2 linked regions of the Arabidopsis thaliana genome follow. The protein of the gene in region 1 interacts with the protein of each later gene in a pairwise test. Each region holds a gene or a part of one and is shown on either strand. Other genes may lie near its edges.

Region 1 (9,979 bases):
ATAAATACTACTACAAATTGTTCTTACATAGTAAAGATATAAGTTCATACAAATATACAATAAAACTATATTGGCGTTATTGGTTTAGGTTCTCGAATGTTGGTTATTTCAAGCCTAAGGAGGAACGACTTGGGAAATAAGAAGCGACTAATAATGTACTTCTCTACTGGTATATGGAAATTACAAAGTTTTCGAAAACTACTCCAAAAAGTGTTCCACATCGATTATATATGATATCATGATTATATATAATCAAATAAATCCACAAAAAGAGTGTTTGGTATTTTTATATAACACGTTCTAGCCAAAAGAAATGAAGATAAACTATACAAGAAAGTGTTGCTAGATAGATCGAGATGAGGATATTGATCATTATTGACTGATGATGATAGCGAAAAGGTAAATTAAACAAACACATAGAAAAGAATAAGAAAATGGTATAGATAATAGAATCATGAATTACTTTTACAGCTTGATCATTTTTAAAATAAAATATACAATCAACATTAATCTGTTATTCACCAAAAAATAAAAGATCCAAAACCTAAAACTTTCTTTCGATCTCTCCCTTAAAGTTTTCAGTTCGCACGACGCTAAAAGGATTGTCAGTCCTTTTTCTCTGCTCAAGCACTCGTAGATTTTTAATTACATATCCCTTTTCAGTATTCATCAAGTGCATAATCATATAGTCTATGATTTTTATCAAGTATTATATCTATTTTCTAGGGTTTCAAAAAAAGATGCTCTTCGATTGCAGAAACTATTATGCACACCAACCTCATTTAAATAAATATATAATTCAATCGTCTAGATTATTTTCTATATTTTAATACAAATCATTCGGTTAGCTTTAGGTTAATGAATCAGTGATCTCACTTTTCTCTTTGCGCGTGTGACATTATTTTTGACCATGAAAAATTAAATAATTTTGGATTAAGAAATTATTAAATAATCCGGTTTAGGAGATGTTTTAAGTTTAGATTCGGGAGTGTTGTAAACTCTAACGTTTAGTTTCGGTGACAACTTTTAAATTCAATTTTGATAGTCGTGTATCTATTATCCAACAAAATCTCACTTAGAGATATCAGATATATCGCAAAATTAATCGAGATCAACTTCAATAGTTTCATCTTCTACGAAAGTAAAGTTGTCGCCGCCGGCGTCTTCAATTTAACGTGTCGATAACGTTCCATATTCGAGTTTGCATATGCATGTCACTGGAAATAATAGTTAAATCATCTAAATCGCATCCATTAATGATTTGATCATCATAAAATTTGGTAAAAAAATTACCTAACTCAAAAGTAAAATATAAAAATTAATCGTTTGAGTAGTTAATTAGTTTACCGGTATACTAGTTAAAAGTTTTTTTCCTTTGACGGCGCTCATATATATGTTTTAAAGTATATCAAAATAGGGATTTAATTCTTAAAGTTACACTAATCCTAATTCTTAAAGTTAACCATCCATACCAATTTACAGAAGTACAGAACTAGTGCTTGATACAGAGGAACAATTGATCTCATCGAAAGTTGGGACCTTTTTAAAAATAATACTATTATATATATATAATAAATATACAAATATATTTAATATTTATTCTATATATAAATATGTGCATAATAACAAATCTGAGTATGAATAGTAGGAGGGGTGTATAGGGCTTTCAAGTCTTTTCTTACAGAAACTATCTATAACTCTAGCAGAGAGCTCATTATAGAACAGAACAGAAACAGAGCTTTCTAAGTCTACAGCACAGAAATAAACCTCATTTACAGACTGTTTTACTTTCTTTCCTTTTTGAGCATTTCTTCTTTCTGTTTCTTTCCTCTGTTTTCTCTTTCTTTCCCTTTTTGGGTGTCATCTCTTTAAGACAGAAGAAACGTTTCTCAGAGTTTCCTGTGAACTCATCTGTTTGTTCTCTTCTTCCGGTTTCACTTTTTCATGTCCTGCCGTTATTACAACGAGGTTGGTTTAAAGATCAGCTTTTATCATTTTTCCCTGCATGTAACAAGAAATATTTAGGTTTCATGTCTGTTTACAAATATGCTCTGTTTCTAAGTATGCCTCTCACATTTGTCTTTGTTTTGGGTGTTTTTAGGATTGTGTTTGATCCGATGGAAGGATTGGAATCTGTGTACGCTCAAGCTATGTATGGAATGACACGAGAGAGCAAAATCATGGAGCATCAAGGATCAGATTTGATTTGGGGAGGAAATGAGCTAATGGCTCGAGAACTCTGTTCTTCTTCTTCTTATCACCACCAACTCATTAATCCGAATCTTAGCAGCTGTTTCATGTCTGATCTTGGAGTCTTAGGTGAGATTCAACAGCAGCAACATGTTGGCAACAGAGCTAGCTCGATAGATCCATCATCACTCGATTGTTTGTTATCTGCGACGTCGAATAGCAACAACACCTCGACGGAGGACGATGAAGGAATATCTGTGCTTTTCTCAGATTGTCAGACTCTTTGGAGCTTTGGTGGAGTCTCATCTGCAGAGTCTGAGAACAGAGAGATCACTACTGAGACGACAACAACGATAAAGCCTAAGCCTTTGAAGAGAAACAGAGGAGGAGATGGAGGAACTACTGAGACTACAACAACAACAACAAAACCTAAGTCTTTGAAGAGAAACAGAGGAGACGAGACAGGAAGTCACTTTAGTCTTGTTCATCCTCAAGATGATTCGGAGAAAGGAGGTTTCAAGCTTATATACGATGAGAATCAATCGAAATCAAAGAAACCAAGAACAGAGAAAGAACGAGGCGGTTCTTCGAACATTAGTTTCCAACATTCAACTTGTTTGTCTGACAATGTCGAGCCCGATGCTGAGGCGATTGCACAAATGAAGGAGATGATATACAGAGCGGCTGCATTTAGACCGGTGAATTTCGGGTTAGAGATTGTGGAGAAGCCTAAGAGGAAGAACGTCAAGATATCGACGGATCCTCAAACGGTTGCAGCGAGACAGAGAAGGGAGAGGATAAGTGAGAAGATTAGGGTTTTACAAACATTGGTTCCAGGTGGGACGAAGATGGATACTGCATCAATGCTTGATGAAGCTGCTAATTATCTCAAGTTCCTTAGAGCACAAGTAAAAGCTTTAGAAAACTTGAGACCCAAGCTTGACCAAACCAATCTCTCTTTCTCTTCTGCTCCTACATCGTTTCCATTATTCCACCCATCTTTTCTTCCATTGCAAAATCCTAATCAAATCCATCATCCAGAGTGTTGACAGATTATAAACTTTTGAGTTTCATCATCATCAACAGAATCATGGCGTCTTGATTGTTTTAGCAGTTCTCAAGAAAGGCAACTTCTGTGACAAGGGTGGTGTCGGGCAGTGTTGTTTACACTTTCCAGTCTTTGTTTTGCATTTCTTTTTATATAAAGTTTGTATTTTATATAGAATCTGTGGAATTCGAGGGTTGAAATATTGTGAAAAACAGAGCCGCAAGAGGTTAATTACAGTCTCTGCAATATTTTCAACCTTTTATTACTTTATTAGAGTAAAGATAGCGTAAGATAATTGCAATTATGAAGCGATGATTATCAACAAAAGTGTTTAGAAAGTGCCTCCATCTCTCTCTACTTAAAAAAGTTTAGCTTTACTTGAAGAACTCTTTTGGAGTACTAAAATATAAAATTAATATTCATCCTCTTTTTTTGGTACTCAATAAACTCTGTCTGTCTCTGTAAAATATGTATAAATTTCGTATATCTATAATGCAAGGTTATTTAATTTGTGTTACTTATCCATATAAAAAAACGATTTTAGTGGAAGAACTTATTATTGTCTTATAATTTTATTTTCACATAAGTGTTTTTTTGTCTGGCTCAAATACAAAACATAGTTTGGATGGAGTTTAGTAAGAGTTAAGAATGTTGAAGGCGTGCACCTTGAGAATATAACTTCACCTGACTCGTACACCCTAAAATGCTCACCACATGCTTCTCTATCTCACTCTCCATCTTTTTATTCTTCTTTTTTGTCTTTTGGTTTTTGTCTTATTTCGTCCCTAAATCTCCTTAATCACATTCTCTTTCGTTTAATAGTATTTTATGAAGTTCTTTTGATGGATGTGTTTTTTTGACTTGGGTACATTGACTATCAACTTTTTATTTATTCGCAATAACACTTACTTAATTGCTATTTTCAAAATAACATGCTATTTTGTTCTAAGCTTGGTTTACATTAAGAAAGTAACATGCTCTTGAGCTGGCTTGTTAATTATCCGCGTATTTCACCAAACCCAATTAAATGAATGTTCAAAACATAAAACATGTTATTTGAATATGAAAATGTGAACATTGGTACTCTATACAAGGAACTATATTTTTGTAATGTGTTTAATTCCGTATTTTAAAATGTTTGTGCCTATTGCGTCGCCAAAAGAACACACAAACATATAACAATTTTAATTTTGTTTTCCGCATGTAAGTATATAGGGCAGGAATGGTTTTTCTTGGAGCATGCCTATATTTCTGTTTTATTATTTGATTGTCTATGAAAATCTTTGTAGAACGTGAACTCCATAGAAGAGAAGAAAACGGTTTAATTAAACTAAACCAAGTTTCCATTTGGAAGAGTCTCATAAGGCCTATTGCAACCAGCTATTGGAAAGAATTAAAATCCATCTTGTAATATAATACCATAGTAGTCATTTTTTGTGTTCTTAAAATTAAATTAGTTATCAACCCAATGAAGCAATCGAAGATGCAACCGACTAGGTCTGGACGTTTGGTAGTTTCTTATGAAAAGAAAGGTAACAATGTCGACTAACAACATTTGAAGTCAAAATGATTAAGTAGATAAAATATAATTCCGTTATTTAATATCATAAAATCATATATTCAAGTTGACTCCAAATTACAAACAGAAAACTCTAAAAAGCAATTATGTAGTATGTAAAAGTTTAGTATATAATAATCAAAAGAAAAAGTCAGGATTCGATGGGTGTTGCAAGCTGGGGAGATAAGAGAGATTGATCATTCATGTTGACTTTTTTAATTGAACGGTTATGGCCTTTTGTTTGTTTCCATGTAACATTTTAGACAAAGATGTCCCTTCGAAGCAACCTATTTTTAGAAAGTTTTGACATAACCTAAATCACTCTTTATATCACAATAAATCCGACGTTTTTGGTCCTACTAATCATAAGAGAAATCCTCCAAAGTTCTAATATGGTCCGCAAATCAAACCAACAACCTTATTAGCACACACATGTCCATTTATTAAACACATATAATCAAGAAAAAGTATCTTCTCAAATCAGAGGATAATACATTTTGGTGACGAAAGCTGGATATTTTTGATTTCATCAACTTGGCAACTTCTTCACTTATATTGGAAAAAACAACATCCAGTTGTCCACAATCATCAAATGATATGGTATACCTCTCTAGTCTCTATTATCATCCTCATTTGACTTTATTATTCATCAACTTGTTCTTCCTTCAGAAAATGAAATCCATTTCAACTTTTTTTTTTACTTTAAAAAAAATATATTTTTTCTTTCTCTTTAATTATTCCACATACAACAATACACTGATAATCTTTACGTTAAATTTATTATGCACTAAATTAGAATGCTACTAGATATCAACTTTGACTACATCGTAAATTTTGGTGGACAAATATGATATATAGTTAAAATAAACTAAAAATGGAAGTTGTTGTATAAAATGTACGTGTATAAATCATTTGTAATGTCTTATTTTGGAACTATCATATTACAAATAAATAACTGAGTCAGTTAGAAAAACCATACAGAGCAATAGGCCCAGGATGAGTCAAATATGATTTAACGTACAGAACAAGTCACTTTTATATCAAACAATGACGTGAACTGAGATAGAAGATGGTCGTAGCGAGCAATTGGCAGGTGCGCGCTTCTTCCCCTCGATCATATTTGAGTCATCCCGGGCCTATTGCTATATATCTAGAGCTTCGAAACTTTGATCACAAGAAACGTATAAACATGTCTCATCATTTGCTTTGTTTATTCCACTAAGATTACATCCATTTCTACTACGTTTTCATTCTGCAAAATAAATTAAAGAGAGTTATGATTGGACTTTATCCTCTTTTTTTAACCGTAGATCGAGTCTATGCTGCTAATCTTGATTCCAATAAATCACATTCATTAATGACATAAATTCATTACAAAACTTTTAAAATTTTCCTTTGAAAATAACAAAAATCCACTCAAGAAAACAAAGATAAAATGACTCTTGCAGTCTAACGAGCATCAGGGGTAGCTCCAATATCAAAGTTCATGCTGACTTCTATTGAACTCTCTGAGTTCATGTTTTGACTCGTTCCTCCTCTTGCGTTTTCATATGACAAACATTCGTTTAATTCGATAACAACTTGAGACATTGTTGGTCTTCTAGCTGAAGAAGGATTTAGACATGACATTGCTAGTTCAACTGCTCTCCAGACAGAACCAGAGTCATAATCACCATAAAGTTTTGGATCCATAATGTTTTGAATGTCTCCTTTTGTAAGCATTAACCCCACCCATTCTGCTATATGTGGTTTTTCACGACTTTGATTGATCACAAGTTGGTTTGTGATGATCTCTAATAGTACAATTCCAAAGCTATAAACATCACTTTTCTCGTTCAACCAATTTGTTCGGTAATATCTGCAAAATCAATATTTATCCTATTAAAAATAAAAAATATATATGATATCCTATCAAGTGATGATACTCATGATAGATGAAAACTAGCAATTACCCTTAAAATAAAATTTAAAAGAAAATCATTGCCCAACAATTATGAAACTTACTCTGGATCAAGGTATCCAGGAGTTCCAGCAACAACTGTTGACACATGAGTTTCTCCTTCAATTGGAAAAGATCTCGAAAGCCCAAAATCAGCTAGCTTAGCATGGAGGTGTTCATTCAACAATATATTTGTGGTTTTAACATCCCTATGAACCATTGGTGGTTTGCATCCATTATGCAAGTATTCCAAACCTATGCAACAAATTTCATTTTCATCAAGGGTTAAGCAAATGAATAGAGGATACAAGCAAAAATTATATTAAAACTCATATCAAACCTTGGGCAGACTCGACAACTATTTTTAGTCTAGTTTCCCAATTTAGAATAGATCCACCTCGCTTTCCTACATTTGAATCAACATATAAATATGTGAAAACACCACAACAAATATGTATTTGTAGCAACTATAAATACTTACCTGACATATGTTCTCTCAAGTCTCCGTTAGCCATGTACTCGTAGATAAGAGCCAAGTTTTCTCCTTCATCACAATATCCAACGAGGCCAACCAAATTTTTGTGGTGAACTCTGAGAAGAAGTTCCACCTAGAGGAGTGGAAGAGCAATACATCAAAATTTGACATGTTACTCTAATAAAACGATAGTGTTTCTACAAACGTTTCTTAATAACCTTGCTAAAACTTACCTCTGCTTTGAATTCTTTATATCCTTGAGAAGATGAGTGTGAAAGCATTTTAACGGCTACTTGTTCAGTATTATTTACAGTTCCATGATAAACCATTCCAAATCCTCCTTTACCAAGAACTCTTTCAAAGTTATTTGTCATTGTTACAACCTCCGAATATGTAAATCTTCTGTTCTTAGTCATTATTGCCGACTCTGAAGATCTGATTGTTCTAACTTCTGATACTTGAGTATATGAAGATGGACCTAAATCTAATGTTACAATGCAACAGTATAATGAGACTTTTTATACATAGTGAACATATGTATTGCAGTATTCAAGGCAATTTAAAGGTTCTTTTTGTGTATACCTTGACTGTTTGATGTCTTTTTCTTTTTGAAAATAAAAAAGAACGCCAATGCAGATCCAAGAACAACCACAAACGCAACTGATGCAACAATCGGTATTACAACATTCATTTTCTTGGCACCACCATTGCCAGCTTTGTTTACACATAATCCATCCGGACAAATCAGATTGGCGTTTCCTTCAAGACTATGAGTTACCAATGTTGAGGAAAAAAAGAAATTTACCAGTCATTTAGGAGACTTGAGCACAAATTTTATATAGTCATGAAAATATTATATGAGAAAAGCTTACATTAGCTTTAGTCCTTTCTTCTGTAAAAGGATTTGAGGAATAGAGCCATTAAAATTGTTCCCACTTAAATTTCTGTTAAGATAGACACAATGTTAGAAACATAGGCAATCTTGTAGTGCGAAGAGGCTAATAGATTATAAAAAATTGTCTTGTTTAAAACGACTCACATTACTAAGAGTGATTTTATGTCAGCAAGAAATTCGGGTATTCCTCCCGTCAAATTGTTATTTGACAAGTCTCTACATAAGCATTTGTAAGTACAAAAATATGTTATAAACAAGATACAATTAAGGTGAACAAATAGTTTTCATTATGCTCAGTTTTGAAATACGAAATACTTACAGTTCTTGTAGGTGTGTCAGATTCTGAATGCCTTGCGCGATGATCCCCGTTAAATGACTTGACGATAAGTTTCTAAAGACATATTTATGCATGCACACATTTCATTTACAGATGATAAAATCATGTGACATAACTAATACAATAATTTAAGATTGATCTTACAAGGAAGTGACAATAGGCGGCGTGGAGTTATCTAGATTATTGCAGTTTAAACCCTCCCACAAAAACTGTTTAGGAACGCATGGATCTCCTTGCCAGCTGATTTTACTTAATCCATAAGTGCTTTGGATACTCTTGATAGCAGCAACTAGAATAAAGTTATTGTTGCATCAAAAAACAACCCATGAAATTATATTTATAGAGGAAATTGATTGAAACATATAGACTTACCATCATCTGGATTTGTTTCCATCTGTGGAAAATCGATCACGGTGAAAACCTCAAGAGCGTTCATGAGAGGAGGAAGAGTAGACTTAGGTGTTTTCGTCAACTCCAAGAGGCATGTCCCATCTTCACATTGTTGTGGTGTCGAATAGAAAATGGTTTCGGTGGCTAACGTTTTAGGGCTGTAGCGTTCATAAGCAAGTTTTCCATTCAACGTCACTTTGAATTCTCGGGTATCGAGGGACCGTAGAGTTTGAATCTCGGCAAAATGCATGTACACATAAAATTGGGTTGTGGAAGATGGCAATAACCATGAGAAGTTCCATGTTCCAAAAGTACTTATAGGCGTTGAGGCTGACGCCATCACAACTTCTGGTGGTGCATAACCATTAGAACTGTTTATATTCAGATTGGTTGTTAACTCTGTCCACTCTTTTGCATCAAAGAATGGATACCATTTACGATCATTGACATCATCAGGGTACCTATCAAAAATATTTTTGTCATGTATTAAAGACTAACATTTTACTTAAAAACAAACTTACTGAAACAAATCAAAATCCATATTAATAAACCAAGATGCTAGAAAAATGTCTATACCAAATGAACCCAATCCGAGTTTTGTGCAACCAAAAACCTAATAAGTAATTATAATCTTTAAACTTCAATATATACACTAAATTTATTAAAGGTTTAAAACAAATAATCTTCGTTAAAAAGTTTATCCTAAACGGATCAAACAGAACCAGAAACCAAATTTTGTTCATGATTAAGTGAAAGGGCGTGATTCATACCGTATGTTTTGGCCTGAACCGCTGAAATAATATCGGAAGAAATACTTCAGAGAGCCACTCTGAGTATTGTAAGTATTGTTTTTAAGTGGTCGTAGCTCTAACGTATTAATCATAGGTGAGCTTGTTCCTGTCTTAACAAGACAGACCTGGAGAGACTTAGATATGGTCTTGTGGATAATCTCCTGGATAGTACCATTGGTCCGTCCATTCATATCAACCGTTACCCATAGATTCGGACCAAGGTAAAGATCGAAACTCGGGGGATTGTTAAGACCATCGTAGTTACCATACACAAATACAGCTTTGATCAGATAGTTTGTGTCTTGCGTGACATTCAAGGTATAGCAGTTTCGGAATCCGTCCGGGAAGTATCTAAG
Region 2 (14,169 bases), on another chromosome or scaffold:
ACCAAAAGTACAATAAACATACAAAATTCAATCCAGAAGCGTGTCATACCTTTGTGCCTTTGTGTCTTTTCTTGGATTAAGATACTGCTTTTGTTACTCAAGAGTGTACTCCGGAGAGTCAATGTCACCACCTCCCTGAGTGAACGTGAACCATATGATGTTTTTTTAGTCTTTCACACATGTTTAATCAATCCAAACGCATTCTGCAATTCTTTGTTTCTCATAATGTAAGCACTCTTTGAGACTCATGCCAACACTTCGTAACAAGTGCTTGAGATTGGTCTATGCTATGGTCAGTCTAGCAAACTCAAGTGTCAGTACCTAGAATATCAATCCTAACTGCATCAAAGGAAGACTCTTTCTTATTTTATCTAGGTCAGAGCACGCAGCTTTTATTCGTTCCTTTACAGATGATGAGCTTGATACATGAGACTACAAACCAAATGGAAAAAACCAAAGAACTAACAAAAACCAATCGTTAATAGACTAATAGTTCAAACGATGAGCTAAGTATATGACCCTGAGTTCGACTAGAGCATTTAACTTCTATGGAGGATAATTCCCAGTACGAAAATAATAACTGTAGACTATATAGGGAAAAGAGAGTAGTACTCTGGAAAACTTGTGGAGGGAAAGAACGGTCATGCCTCGATTTCCCAGCCACGCTTGGCCAGATCTTGAATCACACGCCTCGCAGCTTCTACATTATCGTTAAGAGGAGAGTAACTCCACTTCTCACACATCTTGAAATATTAAATCCATGTAGAAGCTAGTGTCAGGATTTATCGGAACATAAACAAAAAAGAGAAGGGTGTCTCGGAGTATAGCTATCATGTAAACAAAAACAAAAGACTTGAATAGAGTTATCAGAATTACATCTTCTTTGCCGGTCAAAGGTCGAACAGCTCCTCTACCATGGAGAGTCTTCTGGAAGTCAGAAAATTTCCATGTACACCGTTCAGCACCCACAACATAAACGGGTTTCCTGTGTAGAGAATGAGATTTTGATATCATTTTAAGAGTGTGAAAAGGAAAAGATTGTCGTTTTCTTAAACATACCCGGTACTACATGCCTCGCTCAACATACTTATAGAGTCAGCAGTTATGATAAAAGTATTGGCTAAAGCTAGATGTCCCAAATGCGGATTAGGGTCTGAGAAATGGATGAAGAGAAAACATCAAACTTTGCCACAGACAAGTTGAGAGTAAAAAGCCGTTTACCTTTTCCATCCCAAATGTAGACCTTAGAGTTAGAGCTCAATTCTCCAGTTATGACTTCTACAACCTGTAGAAAGATCGAGTATATGATGACCATCCGCTCCCCATGATCGTGACATTCTAAAGAGACTTTTACAAACCTTCTTTGGTGTTCTTCTTGAGAAAGATATTCTTAGGCTTCCACAGCTCCAGAGGATACTCTGAAGCATACCACACAACTGTTTAGCAAGATCAACACCATACAAACAGTTCCCTATAACAAATTAACAAAAAAAAAACGTAACCGCAGTTACAAATACAGATCGATAGAGTATATAAAATACAAAGAGGCACAATGTGTTTACTTGTAGGTCCTCCAATATTAACTACAACCAAAGGCTTTGGCAGCGAAGCAAACTCGTTTTTCCATTCCGATGTAGCATTTCTTAGAGTAGAAGCGTCGGCGTAATGAAGAGCTCCAGTAGTGAGAAACTGGATTTCAGAATTCAAGCTTGTTACTAGCAACAGAATGACAATGCCTTGCCATCAAATCCATTTTAATGAACATTGCAAAAGACACATACCACATTTCTACCTGGATGTTCACGTGGAGTTACCCATGGTCTGAGAAAGAAAGGAATTTGCCTCTTCCCTTCAGGTGTTAAAGAAAAATAATCGTGTTGAGGTGTGATCACTAGATCAAATCTCTCAAGATGCGACCTTGGATGTTGCACCTGGAAAAACAGTAAACAAGAAGAATCAAGTTATAACAAGGAGAAAACAAAGAGTATGAGGCCAAGATTTGGCAGTTGCTGATATCAGTCACATGGAAAAATCAGCTAAAACCTTCATATAAAACAAAAAAAGCTATAGAATTTGTTGTTTTTTTCAAGGGAAAAGACTTAACCTGAACAACAAAAACATTTTCCATAGCCAGTCGTCTTATTGAGCTTGCGACGGAAATAGTATCACTACCAGACGCCACGACTAACAACGGGCCATTCCTGTGATAAGGCAGACGACAAGTAACTCAAATTCTATGTAAAGAGATCTCAAAATCAAGCAGAGGAAAATTTGAACAATACTTTTCAAACGTTTTACGAGCCATAGCAGCAATCTGCTTCGCATCATCTACTTCAAACACATTCGTGATTCCTACAGCCATTTCCAGGGAAACAAATTACTGCCAAAAATCTCATTTTTCAAACTGTGAATAAAAGTTGAAGGTTGTACCAGTAGCGTTAATGGATAATCCGGCACAGATAGTGCTGATAAAACGATGAATTCGTTTGTAGAGAGAGATAGGAAGCCATTGAAGGATTCCACCTCTTGGTTTAGCTACTCTCTGAACAGGAAAAAACAAACTCAGAAACATTGAAAATGAAGAAGCCAGAAGAGGAATAGTGTTTTAGACGGAGATTACATAATAGAGGTGGCGATCGAAGAGGCCTAAGGATCGAAGGAGACCGATGCATTGATTCTCCGCGCCGGCGCAGCCGTTTCCGATCAGAACTGCTCGTTTCACCGTGCGGAAAACACATCCTTGGAGATTCTCCGATAAACCAGTGACGGCCAGTTCCCGTGGCTGTGTTCGTCGCATTAGAGGTGAAACTTGAAAGGAAAAGAAAGTTCAGTGACGAGAGGGATTCCTGACGAGAGTGATGACGACTGACCAGCTAGACCAAACCGAAGTTGAAATCAGAATAAATCGAAAATCAATTTGAACCGGGAATCGGAACGAATTAAACCTTCTTCAGCTATTTCAAGCGTTCTAATTTTTTTACGATTATTAGCAAGTTGATTTCTAAAGAGTTTTAAAATTTAAGATTCTAACTCTTGTGGATTTCTATATTTTTACTAAATTAAATTATTGTATTATTTGTGTTGATAATTTTGTAATTCTTTCAAAAATTTGTGTTATTGGTTTGTTGATTTTCTAACTCTATTTCATTTTTTTTGGCTATTAAAAGTTTGAGTATTTTCCGTTGCAATTTTGTCAAATTCTAGAGCTACTGGAATATAAGTTCTTTATATTTTCAGTCATTAACCATAATTTTCTGTTGCAATTCTCTCTCAATTTTATTTTTTCAAAATGTTAGTGAAATCTTTCTTCGCTAGGCTACGACTGATAAATTAGTTCATCGAGAAAGAGAATACTTGATTTTTTGCTTAGTATCAGTAGATCCACATATATATTGCTTCAATTTTGCTACATGATGATGTTCATTTCGAATTGATAAGTTTTGAGTACATTTCGTACCAATTGAAACTTACGACTTCTCAATTGTAATTGTAGTATTCAGTTAAGAAATTTTAAAGAATTAAGAGGATCAAAAGTAGATTTTAAGGAATTGAATTAATTCTAACCAAATCTTTGCATGAATTCCTGGAATTTTTTATTCACAATCTTGAGTGGGATTTTTTCTTTATTAATCCTAATATTGAATAACACTAGCATTTAATAAAATTTGTTAATCAAGAATTTAAATAATACTAGAATTAATAGAATCTAAAATACAAAAATTAAATTCTTAAAATTGAACACACACTCATCCCCCTCTCCTTCTAAAGTTAGTGTAGGCCTTCATTTCTTTCTTCGCTAAACCGCGGCCGGTAAGCTTTTTGCTACCACACTCATCCATGTGTCTACTCGAGTCTTCCCACCTGCCCCGTCGTCTTTGTTTAGACTAAATTTATTTTTTTGGTCTTTGATTTCATTTTATTTTATTTTATACTTTTTTAAAGTGTATTATGTTTTTTTGAATATTTCATTGTTTCTACAAAATAAAATGTATCATGAATGAATTGTCATATAAAGGTAAAAATGTTAGATTTACAATTCCTATGCATAATATTAATTTTTTTTTTTGTTATTTACCTAGAAGTTTAAAATACTTTAATTTACGCAGATTGATGTTGACATAGATATAGAAGTTAAACAAAAACAAGAAGAACTTTTTAAAATTAAAACTTTAATTAAATAATGTAAATAAATATGCCACATGCTACATTAATATTAAACATGTGGATACATAACAATAAAAAAGAAGCACATAACAATAAAAAAAAAAAAAAAATTAAGGTAAAACGGTAAGTGCCACAACACTGCTGATTAGAGCTGCTATAGCTCCAACCACAAATCCAGGTAAGTTTCCACCTCCAAATAACGCATCAATTGGACCAACTCCAAACGATACAATCATTTGTGGTATCACTATTGCCATGTTTAAAACTCCTAGAGAGAGTCCTGAAAAAATGACAAAAAATGTTATCACTATCCTTATTAATCTGATAAACGCTTTAATAATAATCTTAAACAGAACGATTATGTATCTTATTGATACATTTATGACAAATTTTATATGGTGAATGAAAACCAACTAATAATTGAAGATGTAAACAGATTGTATAAAAATATCAATTAACCAATAAATTAGTACATAACATACATCACCCTATGTGAAAATATATACTCGATCGTTTTTCTTATAATTGGAAACTGATCTCTCCATTACCGTTTTTTGTGTTCACACATTTTAATTAGCATTACTATGAGAATGTAGGTTCAAATTAGAAACAAAAGGAGAGGTTAAAATTAAATACCTTGACCGGCACCGGAACTGCTTGAAATAATGGAAGCTAATGCAAATGGAATACTAAATGTAATCTATAAAATATAGCAAAAAATGGATTAATATTGTTAAACAAAATAATAATTCATGGATAATAGTAACAAAAATTGGTAAAAGACATGGTGGACTTACAGCAAGAGGAATTCCAAGAATAGCAAAGAGACTCAATGCTCCATCTCTGATGGCATTGGTAGGAAGGGCCATCCGACCAGCGATCTTCCGGTGCTCCTCAGCCTTTTTAGTAACCAAAACTGTCATTGCCAAACACACCGCGAGGATTATGTTCACAGCTCCCCAAAGCCTTTTAGCTCCAATTTTCTTACTAATCACTCCAATAACAAGGGACATGACTCCAAGAACGATAGAGTTAAGCATCAACCCCAACGAACCAACTTGGATTCCGTGGTTGTATAGTTTCTTCATTTTGTCATCTCCTGCTGAGTCTCCACCATACACTTCACGACCCATCCAATCGGTATCGTATAAAAGAAAAGGAAACCATGCGATCCAGTTCAAGGCCGTGACGGCTAGAAGCATCCACATTGGACGTTTCATCACCTTGAAAGCTCCAAAGATCTCGCCAAAGAAGGGAGTTTTCTCATTGTCGGAATCTGCATTAGGCGACCATTGCTTGTCTTCCACGTACCAAAGAGCTATGATTGTGAGGACTATGAGGAGAGTGATGGAAATAATGAAACAGCTCTTGAGATTTGCACAATAGATGTCGCATGCTTTAGTCACTGTGAAAGGGAAAATCTTGTGGAGGTTAGTGTACGATCCCGCAGCGTATCCCAAAACGTTTCCAACGGCCATGAAGAAAGAGAAAATCGCGTTGGCAGTTCGAGTTTTCTTAGCATCTCCGGCTGCTAAATCACCAAGAAAAGCACGGCAAGGTCCTTGAAGAGTGTTGTTAGCCACGTCAAGGATCCAGAAACCGACAACGAAGAAACCAACGGCTCTTATCTTGACAGCTTCGTCGAGTTTATCTCCCATGGTGTGGCCGAAGTCAGCCGCAAATCCAATTAGTATAACAGCAAGGGCAACAAGCAAGGCACCAGTGGCGATGAAAGGTCGACGACGACCGAATCTTGACTTGCATCGGTCGCTGAAGTAACCGACGGTTGGCTGGACGAGCAGACCGGAGATAGGACCACATAGCCATATGAAAGATGACCATTTGTGTGGGACTCCGAGAAGCTGAACGTATGGGGTTAGGAGAGAAAGCTGAAGAGCCCAACCAAACTGTATACCGGCTGCGATAGAAGCCACTGATATCATCTTTCTTAGAGGTGACGGCTCATCAGGAACCACAACCGACGAAGAAGACTGTCTATCAACAGGCGCCGCATCTTCTTTTGCTTGGATGTCACTCATAGTTTCTTCACGTTATCTTAAGAGGTTGTGTTTTGGTGATGGTGAATCGTGATAGAGGAGATGAAAAGAAACGGACTCGTCTCTTAAAGACGAGGTGTGGAAGATGAATGAGATTTATGTTTCTATAAACGTTTTGATTCTGTGTTTCATTAGTTAAGAAAATAAATCATTTATACTAAAGGATATAACGCAAATATCCTTATAGGAATTTGGTAATAATGACAAGACTAACTGAAATCAGTTTATTATCTTATCTTTACATATTCTGAGATCGTGACAGATTTCTTGTTTCTGTAATATGTTTTTGTTTACAATTTCTCGTCAAATTTGTTTTGTTCGTTTTCCTTTTTTAAATTTCTGTTTGCATCAAACCGCATTACTGTTACATATTATTTTGACTTCCTCCACAAGAAAAAGAAGGTGAAACAAATGATATCTCAAAACCCAATTTGGGTACGTTAAGTATCCAAATTGATTATGTCGTCAGTTACGAGCCTAACATAAAATGGTTAAGTATCCAAAATTCCAAAGTGATTATGTCGTAAGATATGGGCCTAAAGTCCATAAACGTGAAAAAGCTTCTTCGATTAAGGTAAAACAAGCAAGTTTTCACGTTATCTTCACTAGATATATGTCTATCAATATTGATGATAATATTAAAGTCAAATTTCACAAACCTCGAACGAAGCTGCAATGTCAAGCGAAGAAATTTGCCAGCAGCAGAGAAAACGAGAACATCTTCTTTCCAGCATGATTGCAAGCTCTCCAAAAGACTAACGCTCTGTCTGAGCATCAAGTTGCGGGAAATCGGGTTTATATGAGTCAGAAACCTGAATGAAAACAAGAGAAGCTGAGAAGCCACTACTCTAATGGCAAGTATAGCCATCTATGATAGTTCTCGAGTACCTCAGTGAAAAGTACACTCCCACATTCCATTACTTCATGAATTCAGTACATATCGCTTGAGAGTTACATCAGACCTTGACGGACAATAACTTCTTTCAGGATAGATTTTGCTAAGAAGTTGTCTGTTTTAGCAACAAGATACAAAGAAAAGAGTACAATGAGTGAAATGTAAAACGACATCATAGAAGGAAACAATGTCCAATTATGATTAATGAACAAGGTTGGTAATACATCAAAATATGAAGTCTGAGATGGATCTCGGTGCTGAAGACGGTAACTTTCACGACCTGACATTTTCGAATCGCTGTTTCCCCTCCCCTGTGCAGACCACCGGCGATGGAGGAGTTTGTCATATAGTGTCTCTGTATTTAGACTGCGTGCCGAATTAAAGTTATAGAGCAGAACTCCGTGTCGGCATGGCTCAATCCAATTCGGTTCGGTTCGGTTCGGTTTAAGTAAGAAGAAAAAAACTTGATGAATAAGGCGATTCTGGTCTTTTTGTTTTCTGTCTTGTTTTGCCTATAAGGCTTAAAATAACATGGGCTTAAAGCCCAATAGTCAATAAACGAGGATAAGCTTCTTCGACTAGGGTAAAACAAGTCTTCACTATATATACAATGCATCTTCGATTATAACCCCCAATTCTTAGATATTAGGGCTTATGTTCTAAATCGTGTTATTCGTATTTATCGTTTTTTTTTTAAATCGTTGCGCAGCCCTTAAGATCGCCTTCCACAAATGCTTAATGGAAGCGTGTCGAGTCATTGCTGCGCTAAATCGAAATTTATTAAGGGTTTTTGATTAGGGTTCTCCTAAGAACTAACCCAGTTTTTACCTTCCTGATTTATTATAGGTCGAGTTTTTTTATATCGGCATTAGATCTGGAATTAAGGTCCTCTCTCGCTGACTCTTCAGATATAAGTGTTTATCTCTTTTATCTGCTAGAGATCTTTGCGTTTGAGGATTTTCAGATTTTAATTTCGTTCATTTAGTATCTCGTTCTATATAATCGGGTAGGATACATTGTTTTTATTGGTTTTGCAATGAAACGGCGAGAATGATGAACCAATTAGATGTGCGAATGAGGGGTAATTTCCTCATTATGAGCTTAAAACTGTTTGAGGCATATTTAACATCTCTGACTTCGCCGCTTTTCAAAAGTTTTGTTTGAGTTTTTATTGTTTGTTTTGGTTTGATGGAATAGTGGAAAATGAGGAACATATAACTCAAACGTGAATCAAACCATGTACCAGTTTTTGCTTATTGATATTCTGATTCCACCATTTGAAATGAATAACCATATTTGCTTTGTTTTCTTGATTTGGTTTGCTGTGTTTACGATGAACTCTCATTTGCTTCTCTGTATTTATTATCTTTTTATTAAGAAGATCAACTCATACGAAATGGTGATGTTTCAAAGTGAATTACTTCCAACCTTGATATCCTTAAGTTACAATTAGCGACTCATGAACTAATCGAAATATGGTTTGCCTTAGTTTGCCGTAAAGTAAGTGATATACTGATATGTAAACGATGTTGGCATGGACTATCTTTCAAAGACAACACCTGAAACAGAATTCTTGAGCTTGGACATGGAAGTGACTAATAATGGAAAATTGTTTATAGATAAAAAAAATAATACCAAATATGAATTGTTAACGACATTTCAATTTTGTATGTCCACTCGGAGATCTTCCTTTGGTTTTACAAACATAAATCAATATCAGAAGTCATAAGATTAGTCTATGGGATTGGCTATTATTTTGTTGTCAGGTGGCAATACTTACCCCAAAATGCCCATCGTTGGTTCAATATGAATATATGATCATCCTATATAGCTCTTTCCTGAGGAAAACAACCAAATATAGCTCTTTCCATTGATCTATTAAAGATGTCATCTCAACAAACCTCAATACTATTAGGAGATAGCTTGCAAATCTTATATCATGTGAGATATCATGAATTCAATTTGAAAAGAGTGAATAAATGGCTTGTTAACTCTTTAACTTTGACAATGATGACTTGATTTTGTGTTAGTTTGCTACCAATATCAAAGCCATTCATAGTGGATGGTTGTAAACTGCCCATTTTTTTTCTGTACAACCTTCTCTCCGTTAACATCTTTGCAAATGAACCCATTGAAGTATAGTACAATATCAAACAAACACATAATGTTTGAGTATTCCCATTAAAAGAGGATTGCAATCAGATAAAAAATATATAAATTACCAAATGGAATAGATCTTAAAAGAAAATAATTACCAAATGGTATTTTACCATATTATAGATTTTTTTATAATAAGTAAAATAATAATAAAATATAAAAGAAAAAAAAGAGTCTAAAAAGGCCCAAAACACTAACAGTCAAAAAAAGGCCTAAAACACAAACCGTCTAAAAAGGCCCAAAACATAGTTCGGCTTAAACGACCCAAACCACAACAAAAACCACCCGATTATCTTTTTCTCTCGGATTGGCGTTAAAAATTTTACTGGCGAGATTTCGGATTGAGGAAAAGAAAAGTGACTGGAATTTAGGGTTTAGACTCCGGCGAAGAAGGAGATTTCAAAGCTTCGAAGACAGAGAAAATGTCGTCGACTCTCCTCGAGCAAACTCGCTCCAATCACGAAGAGGTTGAAAGGTTGGAGCGATTGGTTGTGGAAGATCTACAGAAGGAGCCACCGTCCAGCAAGGACAGATTGGTCCAGGGACATCGTGTTCGTCACATGATTGAGTCTATTATGCTCACCACTGAGAAACTTGTACGCTTTCTCTCTTCTTCTCGTCAATTTTTAATCTTCTTTTCTATTTCCCGCATATGTTTTTATGTCTCTTCTCTTTTGAATACGTTAGATCAGAGCAGAGAAACTTGGGTTGCTGATTTTTTTTTAAATAACAGGTTCGTGTTGAGTGTTGCCTCTTTTTCTGTTAATTGCTTTAGCTTTTTAGGTTATCATTGTGGGGTTTAAGTTAGCTTTGAATCACTCTGGCTTGGGTGTTAAATTGAGAAGAAACTTCAGAGATTGGTGTTGAATATAGGTTATAGTTGGGGTCTTAAGTGTGTATGTAGGGATTCTAAGTTTTGAGCTAAGCATGCTTCAGTGTTATTTCACAAATTTGAGTTAATTTTTGTTGTTGATAATTAACTCAAACTTGGATTAATGCTAACCTTGATTCTTGTTTGTTGTAAGGTTGAAACCTATGAAGATAAGGATGGGGCGTGGGATGATGAGATTGCAGCGCTTGGTGGCCAGACTGCGACAGGGACAAATGTGTTTAGTGAATTTTACGATCGTTTGAAAGAGGTTTGTTCTTTATCCTTTGCACCTTCCTTGGTCTTTTTTCCCTAAAACTTGCCTATGGTTCTCTATACCAAGACTTGGCTTTACTTTAGTTTCTGTGGGTTGTATATTAGAGATTGAGCAGCTAACTTTACCGGACTATTAGTTAATCTAGACATTGTTATTTAGCTGTTGATCTTTTAAAAAAAAATAGTTTTATTGATTGCCTTGAACCACTGTGATGGAGAATCAAGAATTATGTACAAAATCTCAGTGAAAGTGTATTAGTTCTGTTCCATCAACAATTTGGTTAGCTGTATAAGGCTTGCTTTGCATAAGAGTATTAAGGCGGTGAAATTTTCATGAGGACACCCTGAATAAGATTCAAATTGCTAATTCGTTTTTTTTTTATTGTCTGAATTATTTGATTTTCTTGTACCACTGATGAAAGCATCAGAGCTGCAACTATTTAACTTCTTTTATAAACTTACAGATACGTGAATATCATAAAAGGCATCCTTCTGGACGTCTTGTTGATGCTAATGAAGACTACGAAGCACGCCTGAAGGAGGAACCAATTATTGCGTTCAGTGGAGAGGTAGGTTTCTGCTTGACTTTTTATTGTTGCTATTTGTTGACGCATTTTTTAACAGTTTGTAAGCCCCTTTTTTATTGTCAATACTTAAATCTTCTTGTCTGTTACGCAGGAAGGCAATGGTCGGTACTTGGACTTGCATGATATGTATAACCAGTACATCAACTCTAAATTTGGGGAAAGGGTTGAATATTCTGCTTACCTTGATGTTTTTTCTCAACCAGAGAAAATACCGCGTAAACTGAAGTTATCGAGGTAAACACTTCATTGGAATTTTCTTTTACTTAGAAAGCCTCCAATTATTTTTCTAGCTGCAGCTGAATGGCTTTCCTTTTTGTATTGCTATTTTTCATTTTAGGCAATACATGAAGTATATGGAAGCTCTACTTGAGTACCTGGTCTACTTCTTCCAGCGAACCGAGCCGTTGCAAGATCTTGACCGGATACTTTCTAAGGTTTAAGCTCCTCCCTTTCTTTATCATTTTATTGCGTTTACCTTGTTGCCTTATGAAATTTTATGGGCGTTTCGAACTATGCATTAGTACATAACTGGTATATTTATTCGTGCTTAAGAAGTTTCTACTAGTTTCCCAAGTATTAAGTGTAGAACTTTGGATTTGATTTCCTTAGTTCTAACAACTGGTTGCTTTGTGAGTCTTTCATCCCCCTGGAGATAATACATAATTTTGGAAAATAAATGGCCATAACTAGATGGTTGTATTCAATATTCATTGGTGCATAGTTTGCTCTAAGTGCAGAGATTGTATATCCTCGGAAGGTTTTGAACCATGTTATAGTTTGACATTCTGGTAGTTCTAGTTTGGCCAATGCTGTGCCTATTGTTTGATCTGTTGCGATTAATATGTTTGGTTCTTTTACAGGTTTGTTCTGATTTTGAAGAGCAATATGCAGATGGAATAGTAGAAGGCCTGGATAATGAACTTATTCCATCTCAGCATACTGTCATAGATCTTGATTACTACAGTACAGTCGAGGAACTGGTAGATGTAGGACCTGAAAAGCTAAAAGAGGTAATGACCATACTACTTCATGTTAATATCCTTTTTGAAGCATATTCCCCTAATCATATGTTCTTTGTATGCCATTCAGGCATTGGGGGCATTAGGACTGAAGGTTGGTGGTACTCCGCAGCAGCGTGCCGAGAGACTTTTCCTGACAAAGGTTTTTACACTTGCTATATAATCTCCTATTTCTTTAAGTTTCGTCTTATGAGAGGGTACTTTTATCAATTAGTAGCCGCGTTCTTGTTGTTCTTACTGGGTTTGGAAGGAACATTTAGCTGTTATGAAACCTAGTTTGGTAGTTCAGCTCAGCTCTTCTTCTAATATGAAACTAAGGCTTTTGTTGTCATAGTTCATGTTTTGTAGGGATTGAATTCTATTTGAAGCTTTTCTTATTACCTTGAGGTTATCTAATTCCCTTAATTAATTCAATTTTTGTACAGCATACGCCTTTGGAAAAGCTGGATAAGAAACATTTTGCCAGACCTCCACACAACGGAAAACAAAACGGAGATGCCAAATCAACACATGAGTCTGAAAATGCTAAAGAGATTGCACTAACAGAGGCCAAAGTGAAGAAACTCTGCAATTTACTTGATGAGGTTAGTTGATTGAAAGCTCATAGTGACATTTTTTTCCCCCTCCCAGATATCTAGTTGTACTTTTTCTGTTAACTTTTCTTGTTGTCACCTTTTATAGACCATCGAAAGGACAAAACAAAACATTGTAAAGAAACAGTCGTTGACATATGAAGAAATGGAGGGAGAACGTGAAGGGGAGGAAGCTAATACCGAATTAGAAAGTGATGACGAGGACGGTTTGATTTACAATCCGCTGAAGCTACCAATAGGTTGGGATGGGAAGCCTATACCATACTGGCTCTACAAACTTCATGGCCTTGGCCAGGTATGTAGTTTATTTATGAGACCATTGTTGTATCAAAGGAACATAGATTCACATTAAATTTCTTGTTATTACGCAGGAGTTTAAATGCGAGATATGTGGGAACTATAGCTATTGGGGAAGAAGGGCTTTTGAGAGACATTTTAAAGAATGGCGACACCAACACGGAATGCGTTGCCTAGGAATCCCAAACACAAAGAACTTCAACGAAATCACTTCGATTGAGGTAATAATATAATATGATCAAAGACTTTGTACAGCTTAAAGTAGTAAATAGTTTGGTAATTTGATCTTGTTGTTGTTTGGTTTGTTTCAGGAAGCCAAAGAATTGTGGAAGAGGATACAGGAGAGGCAAGGAGTGAACAAATGGAGGCCAGAACTTGAAGAAGAATATGAAGATCGTGAAGGTAACATTTACAACAAGAAGACTTACTCTGATCTTCAACGCCAAGGTCTCATCTGATTGATCACATCCTCTTGATGAAATCTTCTCTCCTTACTATATCCCTTTAAACCATATTCTACCTTTCGCCTTTGTAAAATCAAACCATTCGTCATCTTTTTGTGAGGTTTCGTCTCATTAAAACAGTATTTAGTTTATGTTTTTGAATTGACTATCACAATCGAGGATATAAAATTTGTTTTTGTATGGACAATGCTAGTAAGGAATAGTTGAGGACTTTACTTCAATAACAAGAAACAGATATGAGTTAATATAGGATACTACATGTAAGAATCAATCACTAAAGTTTTCAGATGATAGTGTACTCACAAATTTTGAACTAATTTTTTGATCTTTGATATTCTTACAAAATTGGAATGTTTTAATTTCCTTAATTATCCAATTCCTAACAAATCATTGGTTCCTTTTTTGATAAAACTTAAAATTTGAGTCAAACTTTATAAAAATTATCAAAATAAACAGATACAACCTCAATACCTCATACGACTGTCAAATTTTTTAAAGTAAGCTATCACATAGTTTACCTTTATTTTTTTTTATTATATTTATTTACGATATTTTTTTTTTTTGAAAAATACACAGATATTTGATTTTGGTCAGATATATGTCCATATACGAAGACTTTCAAATTTTATTTGTTTTCAAAAAACCTAAACATACAATCTCATTTTGCTATTTTGGAAAGAATAATGAAATATTCCTTTCTTAATCATATTCCAAAATTTTAATTAAGAAATAAAAGTTGGGATGGGCTTTACCTTTTTTATTTACAGTCCAACGGCCTCATTCGATGACTAG

What was found.
Region 2: the proteins of AT3G21330 (region 1) and ATO interact in binary tests that used the Arabidopsis thaliana proteins (3 or more experiments, as listed by UniProt).

Annotation. Positions count from the first base shown.
Region 1 is NC_003074.8:7,505,603-7,515,581, forward strand, and holds AT3G21330 (basic helix-loop-helix (bHLH) DNA-binding superfamily protein), read left to right. Parts: upstream 1-1,637; 5' UTR 1,638-1,968; intron 1,969-2,101; 5' UTR 2,102-2,117; coding exon 2,118-3,239; 3' UTR 3,240-3,584; downstream 3,585-9,979. Other genes in the region: AT3G21340 (Leucine-rich repeat protein kinase family protein), read right to left, coding at 6,246-6,654, 6,801-6,990, 7,076-7,141, 7,217-7,343, 7,444-7,694, 7,793-7,977, 8,083-8,154, 8,250-8,321 and 4 more.
Region 2 is NC_003076.8:1,861,825-1,875,993, reverse strand, and holds ATO (splicing factor-like protein), read left to right. Parts: upstream 1-9,560; 5' UTR 9,561-9,695; coding exon 9,696-9,869; intron 9,870-10,298; coding exon 10,299-10,412; intron 10,413-10,881; coding exon 10,882-10,986; intron 10,987-11,095; coding exon 11,096-11,238; intron 11,239-11,341; coding exon 11,342-11,438; intron 11,439-11,864; coding exon 11,865-12,014; intron 12,015-12,093; coding exon 12,094-12,165; intron 12,166-12,448; coding exon 12,449-12,607; intron 12,608-12,704; coding exon 12,705-12,911; intron 12,912-12,987; coding exon 12,988-13,134; intron 13,135-13,224; coding exon 13,225-13,371; 3' UTR 13,372-13,669; downstream 13,670-14,169. Other genes in the region: AT5G06190 (uncharacterized protein), read left to right, coding at 103-139; AT5G06180 (fission ELM1-like protein (DUF1022)), read right to left, coding at 642-743, 877-985, 1,060-1,153, 1,222-1,285, 1,359-1,471, 1,563-1,689, 1,782-1,931, 2,105-2,201 and 3 more; SUC9 (sucrose-proton symporter 9), read right to left, coding at 4,275-4,444, 4,801-4,864, 4,962-6,203. UniProt on the Arabidopsis thaliana protein: Splicing factor homolog to SF3a60 that may be involved in pre-spliceosome formation. Is necessary for gametic cell fate determination.